Linked DNA regions of Lytechinus pictus. The protein of the gene in region 1 purifies or fractionates together with the protein of each later gene. This does not show direct contact. Links are inferred from orthologs where the notes say so. Each region holds a gene or a part of one and is shown in the gene's direction. Other genes may lie near its edges.

Region 1 (13,162 bases):
TAGTCGTCCAAGTTGTGTGTATAGGCAAAACAACAAGGGATTAAGAAAGCTGTTGTGATGTGCAAAGTTCTATGCTATGTTTAGCCGCAGCTTTCGGCTGGAATCACACCCAGCCTCTTATGTAGACTTCCAAGTTGTGTTTAGCCAAAACAACAAGGGATTTAGAAAGAACGATGTTGTGATGTGCAAAGGTCCATGGTATTTTTAAGATCACTTTTCAGCCGGAATCCCAACCAGTTTTTTTTCCTTTATAACCCCTCAAGTTGTCCATAAGCAATGACGAGGGATTTGGAAAGCTTCCTGTGGTACCGTACTTGCGGTGGAGAAAATGAATGAGATTCATGTAAACGTGCCTTAATTTGAACGATAATATAATTACTTGATTGAAGGGAAAAGAAATTGTCATCTAATCATTGAACCAGCAAAGAACTCTTCCAAGTTCCATTAAAAGACTTAGATAATTGATAGATATAGAGAACACTTGAAACATTTTATGCAATCATTTCCAGTTTTGATAGTTGAGATATATATTAATATTTCATCATTATTTGTGGTATTTCATAAACTTGTTGATAATTTATGTACACTTTATGCATGACTAGTTACTTGAACTTTTCAGAGTCTCAAATTTTGTTTCTCATCAGCTATTTGATTTTTCTAAATTGCGTGCTTCATTCAATAAAAAACAATCAAACTAAACAGATCATTAAGAGAACAGAAATCTGATCTTTGCAGATCTTTTGTCATGAATAAGCATCAGAATGCAAAATTTATTCTTTGTAAACATTTTCAAGGGTTATAGGAAATTAATGTCTGTTATGTTAAAACCAGAAGTATTTAAACTCGGGTTACTAGTCATGCTTGAAGTTGTGCGTAAATTACAAATAACATTATGAAACACCCCTGATTATATGTGCATATGTTGTATGTAGGCCTTTGTCTGCATTCCCATACATGACATATATTAAGGAAATGTAGCCGACTAGAACCTTTCCCTGCAGTTGATATTGTAATATTTATGATATTTATAATATGGACTGCTAGAATAGAGAGTTTGCATTTAAATGCCAATTTCGAATATTTAGCAATTGCTAAAAGGTGTCAGTACAAGGTTTTTAGCTGGATAGTACTGGGTTGAAAATTATTGTACAAATTTACACATAAAACTTATTCTGCACCAAAGACTTTTTAAGTAATTTGATATATGCTGGTATTTTTTCACTGGTTGTCAGTGCCTTACTACAAATGAGGACAATATGTTAATGGCACTTATTAGGTTATCTTTCTGTTGACAGATTACCTTTTATGTCTCTACAAATTTTCTTTTTATTTCTTTATTTTTATTATTGTTTATTTTCCTCATTCCACCCTTTTCTTTTTCCCACAAAATCTCCAAAACTCCTTTATCAATTTTCATCAATATTTTTTCATTTATGCGGACCTATCATGCGATGTGTATGAAACAAGTTCAAGCTCAAATAATTATCATGACGTCATCTAGGCGCCATTTTGTAAAATCAGATTATCAATCATATCTCCATTATCATTTCTCAAAAATCAAACATATGTACATCATATCAACTTCAAGTCAAGGGTCAACTATCCATGCCATTAAGGTCATGCACTTGCAAAAGTCAATTTTAGATTATGTTTCATTCTTTGCCTTATGGGTGTAAGAGAAATATTGTGGTCGAATGGATAGTGCATCTGCCTTATAAAGCGAGGGTCCCTGGTTTAAAACCCACTTGAAGTTTTTACTATTTATTTATTTGTATCCTTTTGCTCATAACACATTTATCATGTGCATTCCTTGTACCTTTTCACAGAAGTAATAAAAGTTCACTTTTCATAATGATGATCATGTTTGTCTGCATAAACTTGGTGATTATGATCGAGAATTAGATCATGATGATGATTGGGACCATGAGAATCACAGACAGATCACCAAATTCGTCCCCATGACAAATTAAATTTCTAGTTTAATTTTAGTTTGTAAGTTTATACAATATATCATTCTTGCAATATTTGCTGATGTGATTAGATAAGCTTGCTAAACTGTCCAGTTTATTTTCAGAGTTGCAAGGCTAGCCCATGATCATAACATCTTCCCCCATGCTATAACTACGGAAACTTTACTTTTTGTGGCAGCGGTGGGATGTGACCCCTGCCTATCAATTCATCACCAGTTTTCTATTGTATATCTGTAGAAACTTTAATTTTTGTGGCAGCAGTGGGATTTGAGCCCACCCCATCAATTATATGTTTCTTTGCACTCTGTCTGAATATAAAAACTAAATAGCATAAAACTTAGTGGTAAGTGAGTTGAAACTACCCTTTCAAAGTTATGGTTATAATTAATTGGTAACTGTTGGATTTTTTTATATATGTTTATGGGTACTCGTTTATTGTTAAGTGTGTTTATCTGCTCTGCATCATTCCTTCTGCAAGTACATTCTGATGCTCTTACCTGGGCTAGTTTCAAAAAGGGGCTTTCTCCTTGTATTACGAAAAGTGAGTGTGTGTCAATATAGCATTTCAGTTTACATAGCAGTAATACCTCAGTCACATTTGCTCTACGGCGCAGTAATACCTCAGTCACATTTGCTCTACGGCGGCCATATGGCGAGTCCAAAACAGCCGTTTTATTCACTTTTTATTCAAACCACATATATGTAGCTGGTATAAAAAATGTTAAAACGGCTGTTTTTGACTCACCGTACGGCCGCCATAGAGCAAATGTGACTGAGGCATAAGGCATTACTACCCACTGCAGCTCTGTGATAATGCTCACTGTGTATTGTGGTTTGAGCCTGAACCAGCTGCATGGGGTAGTAACCAACTGATTCAAACTGGAAATCTGTGGTTGGAACCACGCATTAGGTCAGATCGGTTGGTTGCTGACACAAAAGGTCAGTTCCTGGATGTAAATAATCATATCCGATTGATACATATGTGTCATTACCCACACACACATACCCATGCACACCCACCCCTTCATGCATTCCACACACACATAATCCAAAGTGTGGACAACAAAAATCTAAAGTTATTTAAACATAAGCTCTTCACACTGTTCTAGTATCTGTAGTAGATGAAGATACTGATTGGTGCTCAATGTTTATTTATTACATTGAATCGATATCTGATTAAATTGGCTTACATCATTATTTGTAGTAGTAGTATGTGCATACTTTTCCTCGTTAAAATCAGAAATACTGTAGGAATTTGCCTCATGTTGCAGAAGAAAGTAATCAAAGTGGATTTTTTTCTGTAAAAGAACAACAGGTAGATCTTTTATATGATTGGGCTAGAAAGTCTTTTTTTGTCAATGCATGAAATCCAATTACATTTGTGTCCTTGCCAAGATTGTAATCACCATGTTAAACATTCTAAAAATGTACAAAATAGTGTGTTTAAAGTGCACTCAGTCTAAAAAAAATATTTTCTGGGTAAATATAAAGGCAACATGATGGTTCAATTGACAGAGAGATTGCATGTTATGATTATTGCTTAATATCTTGCAGATTGGCTTAGCCAAAACATGGGAACGCTGAGCATTATCAGTACTCCTGTGAACTATATTTTTCAACTTTCAACACGCTCGATCTGCATTTGAAAATGTAGTATAAAGGCATCCTTAGAGTTGTGAATACCTTGTCACTCCTATGGACTACAAAAATGCTTGATCCCCTTTTATAAGGTAGTACGAACACATTTTTAGTGTATTAAATGCCACATGTCTTCTTACCAGTTCATTTAATTAAAAGGTGCCAAAGTTGACTCTGCTTGTATATACATGTACTGTGTAACCTTAGAAGTATGACATGAAATGGTTTTTTTGTTCTTTCGCAACCTTTCTGTATGTGGAATGTTGTAACTATGTCTGTAGAAATATGCTTAAATGCTAAGAAAAAAAAATATTGTGAAAATCATCACTTGTGATTTTAAGCATATGATTTGTACCAGAAATTGTTGTACTTGGTTTGTAGATTCAATGGCACCTTGTAGACATAATTCTGCTGATAGATGATGCTATTAATATGGATCACATGACAGATGTGATTTTCTAATCAAATATATTCAATTTTCCAAATTAAATCTGTTCTGAATCTTTAGAAAATTCTTTGAATGCAATAAAACCATATTTACATTAATAACCAAGAACAAACACACTGGCAATTATTTCAACTTGAATTTCACCTATAAAATGAACAGTTTTATAATGCAAAGTTGACTGCATATTATTATGAACATCATTTTTGTCACATTGAGAGATGTAAATTTTGTTTTGATATACAGGTAATTTTCTTATGCACGTGATATGGATATAATGTGATTCTTTTGTACATAAAGCCAATGGTTTATAAGAGATGAAAATGTTTTATGCTATATAGATCAATACTATGATAGAAATTTTTGAAATCCTATTTATTGTCTTGGTAATTAGATATGTACTATCTTATTTATGTGAATGTTTGTTAACTGATTTGATAAATTGTTTTAATGTAGATTTTTTGAGGTGTCATGTTGTGGATATTTGCATTTATAAGGGGATAAGATAATCTCATCTCCTGACTCCTAATCCAGTGATTCTCTTTAGACAAGATTATATATTTGTATATGCCACAGGATGTAATTTGACTCTGAAAGCATGGGGATAGTATCTCTTACTGAAGGTAATTAGTTTGTGTGGTTGGATTATTTGCATGTTTTTTTAATGCATATAACTATGTTGTTGAAATATTCAAACTAATTTCTAATTATTAGTAGTTCTTTGCTTTCACACAAAACACTATAAAAAGGATATACATGTATCATTAAATAACAGCACATCCTTAGTGCAAAATAGACCATGCGGAACTGTGGCACTTTATAACCTTGATATTGTCTTGTTCTTTGGGACTGCATGTTTACACACTAAATCACAGGGATCCTTAATAAAAATCAATCTAGATCAGCTGTGAGAAGTCAGTCAAGCTCAGGATTTTAAAAAGATTTGAATTCTAATTCTTTGAGATTGAAAAATAAATCTTTCACATTTAATTTTCAATCCAAATTTCGAGTAGTCATTATTGACAGCTGATCTTGATGTGTTTTAAATCTTATTTAGAGTGAACTACAGCATTTTGTGACATAGGGGAGTTTGTTTTCCATTAATTTAAATGTCTATGCAATGTTGCATTGCGTGATATAGAATTTATTTAGATGCCATAGTAACATGACTCAAAGTAAAACTGACAACTGCATATTTGTTAACGATTTAGCAAGGATATCACAATTTTTCACTGAACATAGGGCAAAAGTAAATAGATAATTACACTTCTTTGTTGTATGCCTTTTGCTTGAATAAACTGTATTTTATAACAGTGATTTTGTTGTTTTCATGGCATTGCCAATTTGGAGTGTGTAACGATTACCTTAAGATAATCAGATTTTATTAAGGAATGGCAGCACATACTGTTCTGGATATGGTATCTTACCTTTTTCATTACATTTTTCTTTTTCTAATCATATTTCATTTGTAATTGCTAGCCTTCATGATTGAGAGATACTACCTTGTGAGTCAAAAAAAAAAACTTGACACCTCACAAATCCCAAATTTAAGGAAAATTGTGTCATGATGACATCATTATTATATATGGCCTGGAAGAGTATGTCCTCCCGAATAATTTGATACCATATTTATGTGGGATGTGTTAATGCTTGGATTATCAGGAGGTATTCTTTGCAGTGATGTAAATTGATTTGTGCGAAAGTAAGTTATGACTGCAATGAATGAATCCAGATGTCAATGATATTGTAATCCTACAACGGTTGCATTAAAATCCATTTCAAAATGCCTTTTCAATAATTTACATTATAATTGTGTAATAAACACTTTCAGTGTCAATTCTCAAAATTATTTCATTGAAAAGGAATTTGCAAATATGTTAACTACCTCATGTAGGATTATGACATCATTGACATCTGGATTCTTTCAATGCAGCCATGCCTTATTTTGGTGCAAGTCAAAATTTACATCACTGCAAAGAATATCTACTGATCATCCAAGCGTTAACACATACCACATAAATATGGTATCAAAATAATTGGGAGAAGATACTCTTTCCAGCCATATATAATGATTATGCGTTCATGGCATATTTTTTCTTAAAATGGGAATTTGTGAGGTGCAAAGTTTTTTTTACTCACACGGTACACAAAAGTGTATCCAAATGAGATACTGTTACTCCATGAGTATACCCTCCTCAAATTATGACTTGATATCATGCCATATCATTTTCTCACTAGGATCTTATTTTTTATGGAGTTTGTCACGTTTTAGACATCTCGTATGCAAATAAATTTGCTCACTTGATAGTTAAGAAAGGAAAAACTTGTTTGTACTTGTGTTTTCTTTTCTTTTTTTACTTGTAAGTATGCATGCCATAAGTATGATAACTCATTGATCTTGCATCTATAATCTTTCACTGAATAGAATGATTGACCCATACAGAAAACCATGTGTAATGAATGTGTTATGTCATAGTTATCATCTATCCTACTCAGTAATGACACAATAAAATAGAGAGCACTTGAGAGGGGGAAGAGGGAGAGGGAAAGGGGAGAAGGAAAGAAAGAGAGACAGAGAGAGAGAGAGTGGGGGCAGATAAGAAGAATGCTAAAAAATTAAGAGATAATGCTCAGATCAGAAGATCGGTAGAGAAAGACGGGATGAAAGAATGAAGCATATGTACAGAAGCCATGACAGAAAAGTCATGTAGGGCTAAATGGGGCCTCCCCCCCCCCAAAAAAAAAAAAAAAAAATTTAAGGAAACAAAACTTTATGAAATAAAATGAAATAATAGGGTATCTATTCATGTGCCTATGCATATAGTTTTGATAATGCTTTATTCATTTATTTTTTTATCTATTTATTTATTCATTTATTCATACATCTATTTATTTTTCTATATATCTATCTATTAATCTATCTTACTTTTTAGTTCTCCCTTTTCTCGTGGTTTCACTCTTTTCTTATTCTAAGGCTTGTTCTTTAATTTAACCCTTTCTGTGTGTGCTCTTTCTCTCTCTTCCTCTCTCTCCCTCTGTTTTTATTATTCTACGTTTAATTTCCATTCCCCTTCTCTCACTCCCATTCTCTTCTCCTCCCTGTGTTTAACCGTTTCCTTTTTATTACCATAATTTAATTCCTTGTCATCGAATACATCTTACTAGTAATTCAACCATTGCAAATTTGATTGCTATGCAAATATGTTGTACTTTATATACTGACCTTTTTAAGGTAATATACCAATAATAGAAAAAGGGGCAAAAGGGCGGGAGGGATATTTGAGACGACGAGATCGATCAAACCAAAATACACAAGGGCCTATTCTGTTCCATATGTTAGATAAGATAATAACTTTTTTTTCTGTTTCAGATAAATAAATTATGGTCGTAGATGGCGCCCGACTTATCATTTGTGTTGATGATGGTGGAGGGATGATGGCGTCCGCTGCAAAAGAAAACGTTGAAACGGATGAATCAGGCAAGTATAGACCCTTATTTCTGTCTAAGTGGAAGTGAGGATGACCATCAAATTGCAATTTCGGGTGTAGTAGTTTTGTATTCCATCAAGCATTATTTAACCATTCGTTATGATGTAAGATTAAGAAAATCATCACATTTTCAATCATTGAATTGGATGTTTTTAAACGTGGTCCAACATACCCAATTTGGTGTTATGTGGGCGGTGGATAGGTTTTTTTTAATGTTGAGTGAGAGCGAAATTTCATATCACTGAGCGTTGACAGTATTAAACGTTGACGCTGTTTTGAATAAATTTGTAAGATCTGTAGATGTGCGTGCGTTCGGAACTTGTCGCATTGATTGGCCAGGATATCGAAAAATTCTAATTGGAAAGCCTTGATGATAAAAAATTAAAAGCACAACTCGTTGAACTTAAGGGCAGCAACACACGACTGCCATTTTTTCCTCTCCGGCAGAAAAATTAAAAAAATAAGGAATAAATCATCGGTAACATATAATTTTAATATTTTCTTGTAATATGTATAGTATCAAAAGAAAGATTAGAGTCTAACGAAAATAGTGGGCCTTCGACTTCGTTCAAGATAATAATGTCATTTAGAATTTAAAAAAATTAAAAATCTAGACAAAACCCGGTCGCCCGAATTGGTGGTCCTGATTACACTTGCAGGCTCGCACTAACACTACCGTTGGTGAATGGGAATGATAGTAAAATGTCAGAAATTGTTAAATAAATCCCAAGAAACGACGGTTATCCCTGTCTAGTTACTACCCTGCTTGAAAGAATTTGTAACAATCTGTCCCTCCCCTTCCCTACTTTCAGGTCAATTCCTGCCAGCAACCCAAAGGCCTGATGGAACATGGAGAAAGCCAAGGAGAGTAAAACCTGGATACATACCCCAAGAAGAAGTTCCTTTGTAAGTGTACTCTCCAGCTCAGAGGCAAAGGGCAGGTACCCCCCCCTACCCCCAATGAAATTTGCCCATGTAATCGGGAATGAATGCGTAAACAGGGCAGGGTCGTGATAGGAAATAATAATTTTATTTTTTTTAAGAGTGTTTGTGTGTGTGGTTTTGTTTTTTGTTTCAAATCAATTAAAACATGGTTAGAAACATGTTTTGAAACAAAACATTTTTTTGCCTGTCCTGATAAAGAGGAAATTGTGAATCTTCTTTACGTCAAATCAGCTTCTGTATTGAAACCATTTGTAATTTTATTTACAGGTCCTGTTACTGTAAGAAATACAACTGAACTATCTTGAGCATTTTGGTAGTTATTTCATCCCCAAATCCCTTATACTCTTTTTCTCTGCTTCTGTTATTTACAGGAAGCCCAGTGAATTACTATTCAAAGTTCAATAAAAAAAAAAGAAATATAGAATGAACTGAAGAAGGTAGAAAGAAAATGTCCATCACTTGATAATATTTTCCCCATGCTTTCACTACCAAACCCTTGTTTTTTGTAAAAGATCATTAATGAGAGGGTCTTGCTTCCGAACATTGCTTCTCAGTCAATTAAAATAAAGACTTTTAATTAAGTTTATGAAGGCCAGCTTGTCAGTTATGATTACATGTTTATCTTTAAGTAATGTTCCCTTGATTTCTAATCTTTGCTTTTTGTCTCACCTGCATAGCAGAGTGAGACTATAGGCGCCGCTTTTCCGACGGCGACGGCGGCGGCGACGGCGGCGGCGGCGTCAACACCAAATCTTAACCTGAGGTTAAGTTTTTGAAATGACAGCATAACTTAGAAAGTATATGGACCTAGTTCATGAAACTTGGCCATAAGGTTAATCAAGTATTACTGAACATCCTGCCTGAGTTTCATGTCACATGACCAAGGTCAAAGGTCATTTAGGGTCAATGAACTTAGACCATGTTGGGGGAATCAACATCAAAATCTTAACCTAAGGTTAAGTTTTTGAAATGTCATCATAAATTAGAAAATATATGGACCTAGTTCATGAAACTTATACATAAGGTTAATCAAGTATCACTGAACATCCTGCATGAGTTTCACGACACATGACCAAGGTCAAAGGTCATTTAGGGTCAATGAACTTTGGCCGAATTGGGGGTATCTGTTGAATTACCATCATAACTTTGAAAGTTTATGGATCTGATTCATGAAACTTGGACATAATAGTAATCAAGTATTACTGAACATCCTGTGCAAGTTTCAGGTCACATGATCAAGGTCAAAGGTCATTTAGGGTCAATGAACTTTGGCCAAATTGGGGTATTTGTTGAATTACAGCCATAAATTTGAAAGTGTGTTGGTCTAGTTCATAAAACTTGGACATAAGAGTAATCAAGTATCACTGAACATCCTGTGCGAGTTTCAGGTCACATGATCAAGGTCAAAGGTCATGTAAGGTCAAAGAACTTTGGCCATGTTGGGGGTATTTGTTGAATTGCCATCATATCTCTATAAGTGTATTGGTCTAATTCATAAAACGTGGAAATACGAGTAACCAAGTATCACTGAACATCTTGTGCGAGTTATAGTAGTTTTCAAAATCAGCACTGCTGCTATATTGAATCGCGTGATGCAGGTGAGACGGCCAGAGGCATTCCACTTGTTTCTTCCAGGTATGAGAGTAAAGGCAAGCAATGGATTAACAGCAAACCAAGACTTCCTCCAGGAGTCTACGAAGACCCAGTTCCTGCAAAGGTAGAAGAATCTAAGGCACTCACCAAGGCTGCCAAGAAGAACGAGAAACGTCGCCAGAAACGGAAAGAGAAGCAGAACGAGGTGGGAGAAGTCCAAAATGGTGATGTGGAACAGCTAAGGAAGGGGGTCCAGGAGGTCAGTGTGGGTGGAGGCGCGGATCCTGCGCCGGTCCTGCAAGATCCTCAGAAGAGGATTAAGAACCTTAAGAAGAAAATCAGGCAGATTGAGGATTTGGAAGCCAAAATTGCCAGCGGAGAAGTAGCACAACCTTCCAAAGAGCAGCTCGAAAAGATTGCTAGAAAAGGAGAACTTGAAGATGAACTGGACTTGCTGGAAGATGGGTCATGATGATGAAAATCTTAGACTGAGAGTGAAATTAAATTTTGCAGATAAAGAAATGGAAGGAGCTTCTATCTTCCTTGACCTACCCTAAAGATAGAAAGCCTAGCTGTGGACAAAAATGAAATTGCAGAGACTGAGAGAAAACCTTGCCATCGGTTGCTGAAAAAAAATATCTTGTTGGTCAATCAAACATGATGAAAAAATTTCACCAAGGACAACCCTTTTTAAATGGTAAGAAGATATATTTATCTTAACTGCCAGCTGCAAAATCCACAATGAGTCAACAGGAATAGTTCTCAGTCTATATTAAGCCAAAATATACTTCCTGTGTACATGTATGCTTTATACAATATTTAGAAAATTTATTAGCTTATCTAAAAATGCAATCTTCAACTACTTAACACGAAAGCCATGAAATTTATATCCAAAAATTAGACAAAAGAACAGATTTTGTACAGTATGAACGTCTCATGCTTTAAATGAAACTTTTCCTTTCAGTTGTGGGTTTTTAGTGCTCAAGTAAAATGATATTAGATATGATAAAAGTACTGTGTGTATCAAGGAGACAAGGTGGCATATGACACGTGCTCCACATCATTCAGGTTCTGCTCGGCATGGTAAATTATAGGGGGCGCCAGGACGAATTCACCCCAGAAATGTCCTGAAGAGCCAGCCATGGAAATTCCCATCTCCTTCAATATTTGATCTATGACCTTTCAACATTTTTGGGGCTACAGATCAAATTTCAAGGTCACTGGAATTGCTGCATGTAAATTTAATTATCTCTACGCTATATAATGTTTCCAATGAACTGGTGATTTTAAGAGGTATAACACTACAGGTTAAGTTGATTTAGACAGATAAAGACAACCAAAACACTGAAAATGTCATCAAAATTAAACAAGGAATAATAAAGTTATGATATTCTTAAACTTAGAGTTTTGCATTATTTCGGTGATCAAAAGTTCTATTCATGTGTTCATGAATATGTAATGAGCAAGCTCATGTCATATCTCCGATTATTTTTGTATCTTATTATTATATGAATTTATATTTTTCAATTTTTTTCCTCCAAGAATGAAAGAAAAAATGTATTGAATACTCCCGTTTTGCTGGGTGAATTTACTATATTTATGTAGATATAATTATTTTCATCCCATTGTATCCTTTAAGTTTTGAGTGCACTAGGTCGAGGATCAACTCTTTTTTTCTTATTCTGTTGTCAAATCTTACCATTTTTTAGAGAATAATCTGTAATAATTCATAGTAATGATAGAATTTAATTTTGAGTTTTGAAGAAACAATTTTCTATTCTGCATTTATGTATTCTTGACATAGTTGTAAGTCAAGTAGCAGCTTATGTATGTCGAGTCTAACCATAGAAAATGTGGTGGTGTTGTGGAGGGAGTAGAAATCTTCTAAATCACTTGACTTGGAACATAATACATTACCGTTACGTGTTTTTGAAATTAATGACTAGTGTCATCTGGTATTTGTAATTGTCTTTTATCATGAACTATAAAAAGGTAGCAACAAAAGCAATATATTGTAATACAACTTAACTCGGTGTAAGTTGATCTCGTGCAAGTTGAATAATTGCCTTCATCTTAAAGTCAAGGAAAGTTTTCAGTCCAGATTATGCAAAGCTTGTATTGTTTCCCTTTTTGGAGTGAAATTTTGCCTAAATCAAATAAATTTCTGTTGTCCTAAATCCTAAGAGACTCAACTTCCAATGTCAGACACACCTGTACATGTATACCATACTAATTGTCCAGAACCCTATCATTAAGAGTTATATTGGATTAAAAAAATTGATATCAACTCTTTGACCGGGTGGTAGTTTGGCAAATATCTGTTATTCTATTTATTGTATATTTTTGTGCAGTGTTTTTTCCCCCGACATGTGATGAATTTATATGTGCCAATGACCGTTTGAAGCGATTCCGCAAATCAATTATAAAATATGCAAATGAATTTTATAGTGAGGTGTCTCCTAGAAGCATTATTATCCTATGCTCTTTATGTCAATGCATGGTGACACTATCCATCAGAATGCCCCCATTACATGGGACCCTTTACACAAAGCAATAGACTGAGCAGTTGATTTCTCTGCTTGATGGCACACAACGATCAATGAAATCAATTGTAAAAATCAGCCGTACGATCAACTTTATCAAACAATAAACTTTGTGTTACAGGACCCAGGGGATGTAACCCTAACGGTGAAGTGTGAAGTAGTCATATTGGAGAGTCAGTGACACGTGAAGTATAATGAAGTGAGCATCCCAATATGGTGATGCATTATAATACCACATGCAACCAGGGGGCCATTTCATAAAGCTGTTCGTAAGTTAAGAGTGACTTTAAGAACGACTGGTGATCCTTTCTTGGGGTAAATGATTTCACCATTTAAATGTTCATTGGTGATTATTTAGCGCGTAAGAAACGTTCACCTGTCGCTCTTAACCTACAAACAGCTTTATGAAACATTCCCGAGGATTAAAGAGTGATTAATTGATTTTAATTAAGTCACAATTTAATTCTTTAGGGAAACAGCCCCAAATTCAATTAATTGAATAATGTATTGCAGTGTCTGTGATGCACTATGACAATGGTT
Region 2 (13,133 bases), on another chromosome or scaffold:
CGCTCTGCCTCTGGCTCTGCTGGGCGCCCGGCTGCGCGTTTCCGTTTTACACCCTGGCGAAGGCATTTTCCGCAAAAATAGCCACAAAGCGACTAGTGAAGAGTCTACACACGTCGCTGGTTGCAGCCAACGAATTGTTGTGGTTGCAGCGTGCGACACAGCCGAGTCCCACACCACCGCATGCAATCTACACAGTTACTGATTAGAGCATGGAGCCATTAATAGCTCTATGATTAGAGCATAGAGTTCATCGGCACTTCATGTACAGAGAGCAGATGAGTGAAATCCGAACATGCTTTTGCAGTTGCGTTTTTTTAATGAAAAGTTATGAAAAAGTTTTTTTTCTAAAAATAAATTATTAACTAAATGAATAGAATGACAGACAAAATAAAAATAAACAGATACATATAATAGAAAGAAAATTGAATTTTGATGGATTGATACACTTAGATGCTGAACGATAGATATAGAAGACTGATAAATAGATAGAGACATAGATAGATAGATATAAATAGAGAGAAAGACAGAGAGATGGATATATAGATATATGGGGGGAGAGAACATGAGAGATAGAGAGATGTTATAGATAGATAAATAGATAGATATATGGACGGATAAAGATAGAGAGAGAAAGAGAGAAAAAAGACAGACAGATGGATAGATAGAGAGAGAGAGAGAGAGAGAATCTGAGAGATAGATAGATGTTAGATAGATAGATAAAGAATTATAGAGACAGAGAAGATTGACAAATTAACAGATAGATAGATACTGTAGTTACATATAGATAGATAAATAGATAAAAGATAGATAGATAGATAGATAGATAGATAGATAGATAGATAGATAGATAGATAGATAGATAGATAGATAGATAGATAGATAGATAGATAGATAGATAGATAGATAGGGGAGAGAACTTGAGAGATGGAGAGATGTTATAGATAGATAGATATATATATATGGACAGAAAAAGAGAAAGAGAGAAAGAGAGAAAAACAGACAGACAAAAGGATAGATAGATAGAGGGAAAGAGAGATAGAGAATTTGAAAGATAGATAGATGTTAGATAGATATATAGATACACTGTAAAAACTGTGGTGTTAAAACTGACACCAATTGGTGTTAATAGAGGACCACACCCTGAGGTGTTAAAATCACACCCTAGAGATTGAACATTACACCAAAGATGGTTGTAATAACACCTATAGGTGTAAAACTAACACCACCAATTTAACACCGGTGTAAAATAACTTGTGTGGTCCTCTATGTACACCGGTTAACACCACAGTTTTTGCTGTGTAGATAGATAGACAAAGAATGAGAGAGACAGAGAAGAGCGACAAATTAACAGATAGATAGATACTGTAGTTACATAGATAGATAAATAGATAGATAGATAGATAGATAGATAGATAGATAGATATATAGATAGATATATAGATAGATAGATATATAGAAGATAGATAGATAGATTCATAGAGAGAGAGAGAGAACTAGAGAAAGACAGATGGGTAGATAGATAGAGAGATAGATAATTTGAGAGATAGATAGATGTTAGATATAGATAAAGAATGAGACAGAGAAGATTAACAGATAGATAGATACTGTAGTTACATAGATAGATAGATAGATATATAGTTAGATAGAGAGAGATAGAATTTGAGAGATAGATATATAGACGGATAGACAGAAAAAGACAGACAGATGGATAGATAGAGAGAGAGAGAGAGAGAATTTGAGAGACAGACAGACAGATGGATAGAGAGAATTCGAGAGATAGATAGACGGATAGAGAGAAATAGGGAGAGAGAAAAAGACAGACAGATGGATAGAGAGAATTTAAGACATATATATATATATTGGATTTATTGCAATAAAAACTATCAAAATACAATCACAAGCAGTCAAAGACTGAAATAAGTGAATGTTTACATAATGTTGTAACCCGCACCCGTTGCGGTACGGGTTAACCTGCCGGTATGCCCCCGATCGCGGGTTGCGGGCCGGGCCGAGTTCATTCTCAAACCCGCAGACCGTTATGCGAAAAAAAAGGGAGAAGTAACGACGCATAATAAAAACATTAACAATGAAAATGGAGTTAGGATCATGTGCTTCTTACGTGGCGGATTCTTTTAGAGACGTAGATATTTCCTTTTAAAAAAATGCTGGCGTATTTTTGTCTTGTGAACAGTGAACTGGACTGAGACAGTTCGACATAAATACATCGAGTTGCTCTTTCGAAGAAGGAGCGCGCGCCAGTGCAGCGCAGCACAGTCGAGTCTAGTCAAAAGCAATCGCATAGGCCAATGAAACTCGATGTCGAGTTTCCCGTCCCATTTTTTCCAGCTCATAATGAGGATTTCATTATTCATTATTTTCCAGAAGATGAAAGTTTGACCTTTTGTAACCTTTGAACGCACTTTTATTCTGTGGAACTGTCTTGAAGCCAGGGAGCAAATCAATCATTTTTTTTCGGGGGTTCCATTTTCATTTTTTTGTAATATTTCAGGGTCTCCATTTCTACCGTTTTGGAGGCTACTTTTTTCATTTCGGGGGCTCTTTTCAAATGCTACGTTTTTGTATTTTGAGGAATCCCTGTTCACTTATTAAATTAATTATTACTTATTGTTTAATATTGCATGATTTTAAAGTTATTTTTTTCATGCTTAGAATCTTGGATGTGGGTGTGTTTGTGTGGGTGTGACTATGAGTTGAACTTGGATATAAATGAATTCAATGTCTAATTTCTACTCCATCTAATTCCAGTTCTTGGCCATGATTGTAATAAAGGCCCACATACCCTAACTTTTCCTGATGTTCTTTGAAAACGCAGATCTCCACGAAAATTGCATTTCTCTATGGGGGAGTCTAAATTTGGTGAGAATGAACTCATTAATAACTTAAATATACATGACAATGAAGAAATCATCTAACTTTATTGGCAGTTTTGAATAATATTCCCGAAATATAAACTCTGTCTGAAACATAAAATCACCATCATTGAGGCCTTTACAGAGCGATTGTCCCCCAGAGCTCTGGCAGAGAGACAGAGCTCAGACTGGCTAGCTAGTACAAGCGCCAATGCGTACGTGCGTGAGCCTCCCGTCGGCCTTGTAAAACAGATTGAGTTTTGTTTGATGATTTTTTTGTCTGATATGCCGTATGACAACTCACCAATGCGAGGTTACTAGACTATGGGATTTATTGAGGTAGCTCGACCAAACTCCTCGAGCGATGTTCGTGCAGGCTCCACTCCACTTCACTACCGCTACATCGGGTAGGTAGAGCGTAGTGTAGCAGAAGTGAAGTTGAGTGGAGCCTGCACGAACATCGCTCGAGGTGTGGTTGAGCATGCAGTGTCATTCCATTCACAAGAAAAAAACAAGAAAAGAATTACAGGTATTTACATGATCAAGTAATTGTGACTGAAAAGCTTATATTAATGTTTTATATCAGTTCTGAATCGAGATCTATGTCAAAATAGTAAAATAATGAATTATTTTCAGAATTTGATTTTTAAACGCGGTCCAAATTTCATAACGCGGGCGGGCGACGGGAAACTGAACATCGAATTTGCTGGGCAGCCTGGGCTACATGTAGCTAGCGCGCGCTGAGCTGCGGCTCCGATCCGAGGAGTTAATTGCGCAATGCTTGACTTCGAGATCAGAGCCGACCCATTTCGGGTACAAAGTAACCCAAAAAAACATTTTCTCTCCGGAATAAGAGGCGAATTTGCAAATTGTAAAGTAAATTCACTCTAGGCTAGGTTAGTAGTTGGCATATATTTTCGTGATTTGAGCCTGTATAGTGTGGGGATTGCAGAAATAATTTTCATTTTTCAAAGATAAATTTACTTGCGGGTTAAAACCCGACGGGTCAGCGGGTCCCGCTTGCAAATTATTGGATTATACGGGACGGTACGGTTTGGGTTTTCACTTGCAGGTTACAACATTATGTTTACATACAAATAAAATCATAACAAAATATAAAGTAAACATTATAAATAAATATCAAATACAATACAAAAGAAATGTATCATAAATAAATACAAAAGGCCAAAAGTACAACAGAGTGTCACCTAAGAAGAAAAATGCGGAATGAAAGATTAAGAAGAAAGAGGAGAGAGAAGAGGAAAGAGGTGAGAGAAGGGAAAGAAATTGGGATAAGACAAAGAGAAGGGAAAGCAAGAGGTGGACTTTGAAAGAGAATAGGATGCACCGAGGAGGCAACCTTCAGAAAAAAAAACTCATTATGCAATACAAGACATTTAACAATGGTAACAAGTAAATAAAGTAGTAATTGAATCGAATCGAGCACAAAAAAGGGAAAAGTAGAGCTGAGGAAATAGACTCCCGAAGGAAGTCGAAGCAGTGTTGTTATTGCACATGAATAGATTAATAGATGGATAGAGAGAAATAAAAGAGAGACAGATGGATAGATAGAGAATTTGAGAGATAGATGTTAGATGGATAGATAGATAGATAGATAGGTAGATAGAGAATGAGAGAGACAGAGTAGATAGACAAATTGACAGATAGATATATCATGTAGTTCCATAGATTGATTTATAACATAGATAGTGGAGATATGATAGATATAAGGATAGATATAATATGAAGAAAAAGAGGTAATTATGTGTTTTATTTTTCAATATTTTAGCTATTATTCGTTTTCATTCATATAAACGATCATGTGCGATAAAGTAAAAAAAATAATAATAATGGAGCCAACGTAGTTCAGCGGAACAACCAAAATACAGAGACTGCAAAGCGTTTGGTCTATAAGCTCAGCTGCATTTGCACGTATGTTTCTGCGGATATCTTCGGTGCGGACTTTTGGATCGAGCGCCCAGCTGATTATGTAAACAAACGTAGACGTAGACTCTTCACTAGTCGCTTTGTGGCTATTTTTCCGGAAAATGCCTTCGCCAGGGTGTAAAACGGAAACGCGCCGCCCGGCTTATGCATGGCTTACATTTTTTACATGGGCCAATTGCGCGAAAGGGTCTTTCCAAGGACCGTCTTTCGTGTCGCCCATCAGTTTTATGATGCGCTGTATGTGGGATTTTTCTGAAATGTATGATAAACATTTAAAATTTGTTAGCTAGCATTTATTTAAATCATTTTGACTTTTGAGTTTTGTATACAATTTCATGATAGGCCTAGGCCCTATATCACATCATTTTATAAACAAAGATTTTGTTTACTTTAACGGATGAATAAAATATGTTTGCAGGTAATTTATTTAAAATGCGTTTCACATGGCGCATCATAATAAATGGGCGACACGAAAGACGGTTCTTGCAAAGACCCTTTCGTGCAATCGGCCCCAGCCAGGGCGAGTGATCTTCATGATTGTGAGTGAAGCGTAGCTTTATTAGTTGACCCCTTAACCATAAATTTAGGCAATTAGGGGGGAAAAATGTGAAAAAATTGAAAAGAAAAGAAAAATAAAACACAAAATAAAAAGTAAGGTATTACAGAATAGGCCAATAATAGAATGGGCCCTAAAACAAAATATGCCTAGATCTAGTTAAAGTTAAAAGAAAAAATGAAAAGAACAGTAACTTAAAGAAACAAAAGAAAAAAGGGAAAAGATAAAGAGAGAGAGAAAAAAAATAGAAATCGATGAGAATGAAAAAGGTTTAAAAAAAAGAAAACAAGCTTTAGTTGACCCCATAACCATAAATTTAGGCAGTCTATCCAAACTACAAGTTAGTGGAGAAAAAATAAGAATAAAAAGAAAAAACGGAAAAGAATCAATAAAAGGAAAAAAAAGAAAATTTAAAACTTAAAAGAACAAAAATGAAAAGAATTAACAGCAAAGAAACAAAACAAAAAAGGGAAAAGGAAAAAAAGTTGAAAGTAAAAAAAATAAGAAAAGAGGAAAAGAAAAAAGAGAATGAAATAGAGCAGAAAAAGGTGGAGAAAGTTTTAAAGAAAAGAAAACTCAAATTATGAAAGCTTTTCATCCTTTCAAATTCAAAGAAAAAAAGGTCCAAAAAGCATGTATAGCCATTTACATGTATGTACGTGGAGAAAAAACAAGGTTTAAAAACTCCTCGAAACAGACGGCTGCCAGCTGTCAAGATTAGAGTAAGCTGCCCAGAATTCGACATGTTAAGCATTTTTTGCAATATTTTTTGTTCTAAAATGTCTTTTCACAAAAAAAAATTTACATCAATTATTCTATAATTGCAATGTTTATTTTCTCGTACATCTCAATATTTCAAAAATTTTGAAATGTATGTATTGTCATCTTTTGTGCCAGCTATTTGACAGCTCCTGCCCTCCGTTCAACATATATTGCTCGTTCAAAAGTCAATGCGTACGAGAGCTGCTAAATTGTGCTGCACTGCATGCAATATGCAACCGGGAAGTTGAAGCAGCCATTCACTGCTGCAATACACTTGGACCCCATGTTGAATAGAGGCCTGCCGCTAGCATGCCGTCATATTGATTTCTTTGCAAATTCAATGCGGTAGTTTTTCTGTTTTTTCTTTCTCAATTGGTCATTCCATTCGACATGGGGTCCGAGTGAAATGCAGTAGCAGCTGCAACTTTTGGTTTCTTATCACATGTGGTGAGGCTCAATTTAACGGCTCTCGTACGCAAGGAAAAACTCTACAGCATTGAACTTTCGCAGAAATCAAGTCGTCGGCATGTATGTGTATGCATAGCTGGACGAGAGAAAGACAGGAAAGAGAAAAGGAAATTTTAAATTTAAGACAATATCACTGTGCCTAAACTTTCATACAGTAGGCCAACAAATGATGAGACTGCCAAATCTGTTTGAACAGAAAGGTATACTGTTCAGAATAAATGAGTTTGATAATTCTTGAAAAAATATTTTTCTGTTTTTTTTCGTGAGTGAATCAAGAGGTAAATTGTAAGGTTTGTGATAGGAAGTATATTTCAACTTAACTCTCAAGAGATTGTTTAGTGTATTTTATGTGAGTATTTAAATAATAGTAATAATATTCTGCATTTATATAGCGCTTAACACATCGGAACAATGTCGCTAAGCGCTTTACAGATATATTATTACCCTGGTCATCGGATCCTTACATGCCCGCATACAATGTATGCACCTCTTCCACTCCCTGGGGAGCATTCAAACAAGAGTTCCAAGACTCAATTGCTAGGCATACTACATAGGCTTTCGCATCCTACCGGGTACCTATTTAACACCTGGGTGGAGAGTGGCAAATTGTGAATTGACGCCTTGCCAAAGGACACTAGGCCATGGTGGGATTTGAACACATGACCCTCTGATTACAAGACGAGAGTCAGAACCGCTACACCATGGCGCTTCCACATGTGATAAGTGATTTAATCACAGAGACTTAGCATTTAAACCAACTCCAAGTAGGCGTGTTTGTATACTCTCTATGTAGAAAATAAATGCTAATAATGCACATAATTTTTGTTGTAATTCTATGATGACCACATGTATATTTTTATTTCTACAGGAAAGCTTCGTTATGCCAACAATTCAAACTACAAGAATGATGTCATGATCAGGAAAGAGGTATGACAGTTATGGGTATTTACAGGGAGGCACCTTAATAATAATAATTCAATATTTATATAGCGCCTATCAAAATTTCTCTAAGCGCTTTACATCACAAAACCTAACTACTTAACGTAATAAACTAAACTCACTTATCAACTTAACTACCTTACATAACTAAACATCCAACGTAATAACCTTACATATATCTAAAATACCAACTTAAATATGGACATATTAACTGTAAAAAATCATACTATTTACGGAAGAAATATGTCTTAAGTGTTACTTTAAAGGAACTTAGAGAAGAATGGGATCTTAAGCTAAGAGGAAGTGAGTTCAAGAGTGTAAGAGCCACAACTGAAAAGGCTCTGTCGCCATGGGTGTGGGAGGTTGCCTTGGGAACAACTAAAAGGTTCTTGTTGGATGACCGAAGTGATTGGGAGGGTTGGTAGGTGTTGATCATGCTCGCGATGTATGAGGGGGGCTTTCCTTGGATGCTCTTGAATGTTATGACGAGGATTTTGAAGAAGATACGCTTCTCTACTGGTTGCTAGTGCAGTTGCTTGAGTGGTTTGGATATATCCTGTTTTCAAGGGACTTTATTGACAATTCTAGCAGCAGTGTTCTGTATTCTTTGTAGCTGAGAGATGAGAGTCTTTGCTGCATGTTTTAGCAGGAATTGAGCTAAGTGTTTTTCATTGCAGCTCTTGCATTTCCCATTGTTTTTGTTTTTATTATTATTGTAATGATAAGCAATGGAAAGAGCCTTGTGGGATTCCTGCTGAAAAGATGATGATGATGATGATGATGATGATGATGATGATGATGATGATGATGATGAGGAGGATGATGATGAGGATGAGTTGGTGATGATGATGACGATGGAATAGAGTTAATTTTCTTGAGGATGAAGAAAATGATGGCTGGTGATAATGATAATCAAGAAATGTAGATTATGATGGTGCTTGTATGAAGCTGCAAGAATCTTCTTGTTAAATTATAAATGTTTGTTTCATGGTTTGAATAATGCTTTAGAATTGTCTAGTGCAGCCACTATGTAAATATGCTCTCTTGTGCTTTGGTAGAAACTCCTTTTGATTATACTACAAATACCCTTTTCTCACTGCCAAAATTTTCCTTAACCCCATACTCTAGGTTGTCCAATCAAAGATAAGCAATGATGAATGGCTATCTGATTTAGTTGGGGATTATTGAATTTTTGTGAAAACCAAGAATTTCTTTAGCCGGGGCTAGGTAGAAAATTTTGCCTGTGTATAGTACAGGGTTAAATCTGGTTCCACAGCTTATGAGCTGCATAGCTGAATGCGCAATCATTAAAGAGTAGCCTGTTTCAGAAGGAATCTATCATGATTTGAACTTCAAGTTATGTGAGGTTGGCTGAATTTTAAAGAAAAGCAATTCTGAGAGATAAGTAGGGGCTTATGAGAAAGAAATATCTGTTCATAAATTCTGATGTGTAATCTTGCTTTGTTACAGGCCTATGTACACAAGGCTGTGATTGAGGAGTTGAAACGCGTCGTTGATGATTCCGAAGTGATGCAGGAAGACGATGCTCTATGGCCGCCTCCAGACAGAGTAGGTCGACAGGAGCTAGAAATTGTGATGGGCGATGAGCACATCTCATTTGCTACCACCAAGTTTGGTTCCTTGATTGATGTTAACAACAGCAGGTAATGAAAGCATATGTCATGACTGACTGATGAAAATAGTGAAAAGATGATGATGATCATCATCATCATTCAGACATGATATGATTCTTATTCAATAAATCCACTTAGTTGAAAAAATAGGTACTTACACCTTGTTCTAGGTAAAATTATTGATTTTTCTTTTCTTTTTTTGGCAAGAGGGTGCTGAGCATTTTCCTTAAGCACCAAATTACCAATACTTTTAATACTTTTCACTTGAAGTCAAGCAACTGCATGCAGTTAGAAGAAGTTCTACCAAACAAGCGTCATGTCTATTACTAGAAAAGGAAATCGTGTAATGTCAGTCTGAAGTGACTCATCACTCCTGATACACATGTAACTTTTCTTTTAGGGGAGGGAATTTCCCTGTAGTCTTGACCACGTACTTATTTGATTTGAACTGATATCCTGTTTTGAATCTGACAATCAAGCCAATTTCATTAAAGTAAATTCCTGTGTTCTTATTTACTGATAGGATACTTGAGGCCACTCACTGCCCCTATCCTCCCTTCTCTCCCCCCCCCAAAAAAAAAACCCCACACAAACATAAGTAAAAGATGCGTACATTAATTTTGTATTTGTGTCTGATATGTTGAATATTTGTTTTTCATCATTAAATTGATTGCCAGCGTAGGCCAAATTTCTGTGTTTTTACAGACAATAAATATTTTGAATCTTGAAGGTACTTAAAACTACTTCACATGTTTCTTCTCCCTCTACATGTATGTATATAATTTTTTTTTCTCTCTAAATCGCAAGTCAATTCTTCTCATCCAATCTTTGTATCTAACTTGATCCATCCTTTTTGTGAAGTGATGCTGTTGGGGTTGGGGTTTAAAAAAGATAGTAATACTGTTTCATGAACAGGAAGTCACAGGAGAATCCTATGTTCTTTTCTTTCTGATGCAGAGATGCTGAAGGTCTGCGCACATTCTACTACCTAGTACAAGATCTCAAGTGCCTGGTCTTTTCACTCATTGGCTTACACTTCAAGATCAAGCCAATCTAAGAGGACATTCCAGGAATTGCTCATTCCAAATTTGGAAAGGACACTTTTTTGTATCTTGTATAATAAGTTTCAACTAGAATTGGTTTGTTAGTGTAAGTTGAATTGTTATTAAAGGGAGTTTGTATCCAAGCCCAACACCAAATTGACCAGTAAGCCCATCTGTCTGAAGGAATGATCCATGAAAAGTGTGAACTGCATCAACATATCGTGAATAGCTTTGGTCGTTTGATGGATAATGATATTTGGAACAGTGTTCTGACAATGGTCACTGATGGAAAGAGTCCCCTCCAGAACTGACCAGACTGAAGTATACAGATCATCCACTTCAAGAGAACAGTATTTGTTGTTTAAATGCTTCAGAAGAAACTGTGAGGTGCTACAGATCACATCAATCTCATTACCAGGGTACCATTTTCATGAAACACAGAGATCAAGAACTTAGACTAAGTTTGAAGCAAAGTATCTGTGGAAACGGTGGCCGATCAAGCTGGGTTAGATACAATACTATTTCACAGGCCATGCAATTGTTTGTGAACAAAATGGTGGGTCTGTCCAATGTATTGTTTCTAATCTGGCTAGATCCACCTATTGCATGGGACACATGGTGTTGTCATCATGTCTCCAAACCCTTTTAAACAAAGTGATTATTATAGAAATTGTTAGCCTTATACACACACTTATCATTAGACTACATTATGGATGCCATGTTTGATTCATTGTTTTTGCATCAAACAAAAACTTGTGCTGCTGTCCCCATTGTCCATTTTGGTTTATTCTGTACTTGTAAGTTACACATTAGAAATATTTGTTGTCCATCTTGATAAAAGGAGGGCATGTGCATGCATGATAGAGAGACTTAATATGGTCTTTAAGGACAAGTTGTAAATAAAATCTTGAATAAGCAGTCTAATCCTTAGTTTGTGGCACACAATTGCTTTTAAATTGAAAACAGATAAAGGACCCGCAATATGAAGGTATTCAAATGAATATTTACTTTTAGGATATCTATCATTGAAGAGCGTTATTCATGAATTATGGTTTTAACTTTTAATATTAGATAAACACTGGATGATATGAAAGAATCATCACCTGTCAAATCCAGTCACCACAATTTTACATCTTTTGAAGCACATGATGTTACTAAAGATATCAATTTGGCAGGGCTTCTGTCATACACAATTTGCTTATTATATAGCATGTACGTTCGGAAATCATCAAACCATTTTTTTATTCTACCTTGTATATCACGAGTTATTTCTAAAAACCTAGTAATTATCTTGATATGTTGAGGGAAAGTAGTAGACAATTTGTACATTAATAGACTGTACTTAGACTGAAAAAATCAGCCTATTTCGGTCAGGATATGCTCCGCTGAGACTTCGTCTGGCCTTGCGGTATCCTGACTTCGAAAAATCAGAAAATATATTTTTTAATCCTCTGAAACAGCAGATTTTTCAGTCTAACTGTACTTATGTCATTTTCCAAGGATATGAATGGTCTCTGTTAAAGCCATTAAATGATAATTTTGCCAACGTTGGTTTAATATTCTTCTTCTGTACATAGTTTTTAGCTCATAAACGTTTGTATGTAGTGAAATGGGGACAATCTACTGTCATTATCATTGGTTTTAGATAGTTCACAAGATAGGTTTGTTGCAGAATTGTTGGAAAATTATACAATTACATTTTTCATCAGAAAGTACTGAAATGATGGTCAAGGTTGACATGTAAAATCTATCAGCGATGCAATTTATCAGACTGAAGTCTGAATGAAGAATTTTTCAACATATTTTCAGCATAGAAAACACCTTGTCCTTTTCTCTTGATTGCACCCAATAATTAATGTTATTGTGCATAAAATTGGCTCTGATCGTGTGCCAAGCTTTGTTTTACAAGGCATGTGAGATAGAAAATGTCTCCTGCATTTGAAACTTCTTATCATGTTTTCGCTTATAACACATACTGTTTGTATATGAAAATGGTCTGAAGCTTTGCTCCCATGTCTTATAAGAGTGTCTTGACTGCATCATCATAGTGGATCAAAAATTGATGTACATGTATGATATCTTCAGATGATAGATGAATAAAATGATACAAAAGGAAAGAGTGCCGTGAAATGAATAGTATGTCTGTGCAAGTTTAAATGCACCCTTTCCCTAATGGAAATAGGTTTTTTTTTTTAGATAATGCAATTAACCAGAGCTGAACAAGAATATATCAATATTTTTAATATAAGCTGAAAATCTGTATTTTGTAGAGCAACACATACTTCAGAAATCAGCATTTGCGTGAAACCATTTTACTCATTTTTCAGTGCTTAACACTGAAAATCTGTACTACTTAGCAGCTCTGATTAACCCAACTGAACATTTAATTTTTTAGCAATATTCCAGGTTTGGATCTTGCTGTGCAAATCATTACTTATAAATATATTGTTATATCCTGAAGGCTCTTTTTATTAAGAAGATTAAATGAAGGAAAAATCTCCCTCCAATGCTCTCCCCAAGTCTCTCACCCCCCCCCCTCCCCCCTCCCCTGCCCAGAAAAATTAAAATGTTGGAGACAAGTAGAGTTTTGATCCTCAGACCTCATGTGAATCACTTTCCACAAGATCATATATGGTCAAATGACCTTTAGGTGTGTGAATTACAGTTAAATACCCCCAAAGCAGAAAGAAATCAGACAGACCTACTGAAAATGATTAATAAGATCCTTTATGCAATACTGCCCAGGTTGCTATTCTCTAACGAAAAGGAAGCAAGTGATTTACTGACCATGAGATCGAGAGATAAGTATCATTTTATCAGCAGTGTTAATGACAATCTTTATCTTTTTTTGAGGAGTCGGTCACTTGCTTCCTTTTGGCATTACAGGGCAGAAGTGGTTAGAGTCACAAATGAT

What was found.
Region 2: the proteins of partner of Y14 and mago-like (region 1) and protein mago nashi homolog purify together in Drosophila melanogaster (affinity purification with western blotting; 4 studies listed by BioGRID, with this or other methods). This does not show direct contact. The link is inferred for Lytechinus pictus from reciprocal best matches to the Drosophila melanogaster genes Pym and mago.

What each region holds. Positions count from the first base shown.
Region 1 is NC_087257.1:24,606,127-24,619,288, reverse strand, and holds the start of partner of Y14 and mago-like, read left to right. Parts: upstream 1-7,447; 5' UTR 7,448-7,485; coding exon 7,486-7,531; intron 7,532-8,353; coding exon 8,354-8,447; intron 8,448-10,121; coding exon 10,122-10,551; 3' UTR 10,552-13,162. UniProt on the Drosophila melanogaster protein: Regulator of the exon junction complex (EJC), a multiprotein complex that associates immediately upstream of the exon-exon junction on mRNAs and serves as a positional landmark for the intron exon structure of genes and directs post-transcriptional processes in the cytoplasm such as mRNA export, nonsense-mediated mRNA decay (NMD) or translation.
Region 2 is NC_087248.1:1,642,968-1,656,100, forward strand, and holds protein mago nashi homolog, read left to right. Parts: upstream 1-7,427; 5' UTR 7,428-7,449; coding exon 7,450-7,530; intron 7,531-9,012; coding exon 9,013-9,206; intron 9,207-10,133; coding exon 10,134-10,233; 3' UTR 10,234-12,336; downstream 12,337-13,133. UniProt on the Drosophila melanogaster protein: Core component of the splicing-dependent multiprotein exon junction complex (EJC) deposited at splice junctions on mRNAs. Involved in exon definition of genes containing long introns, including the rolled/MAPK gene.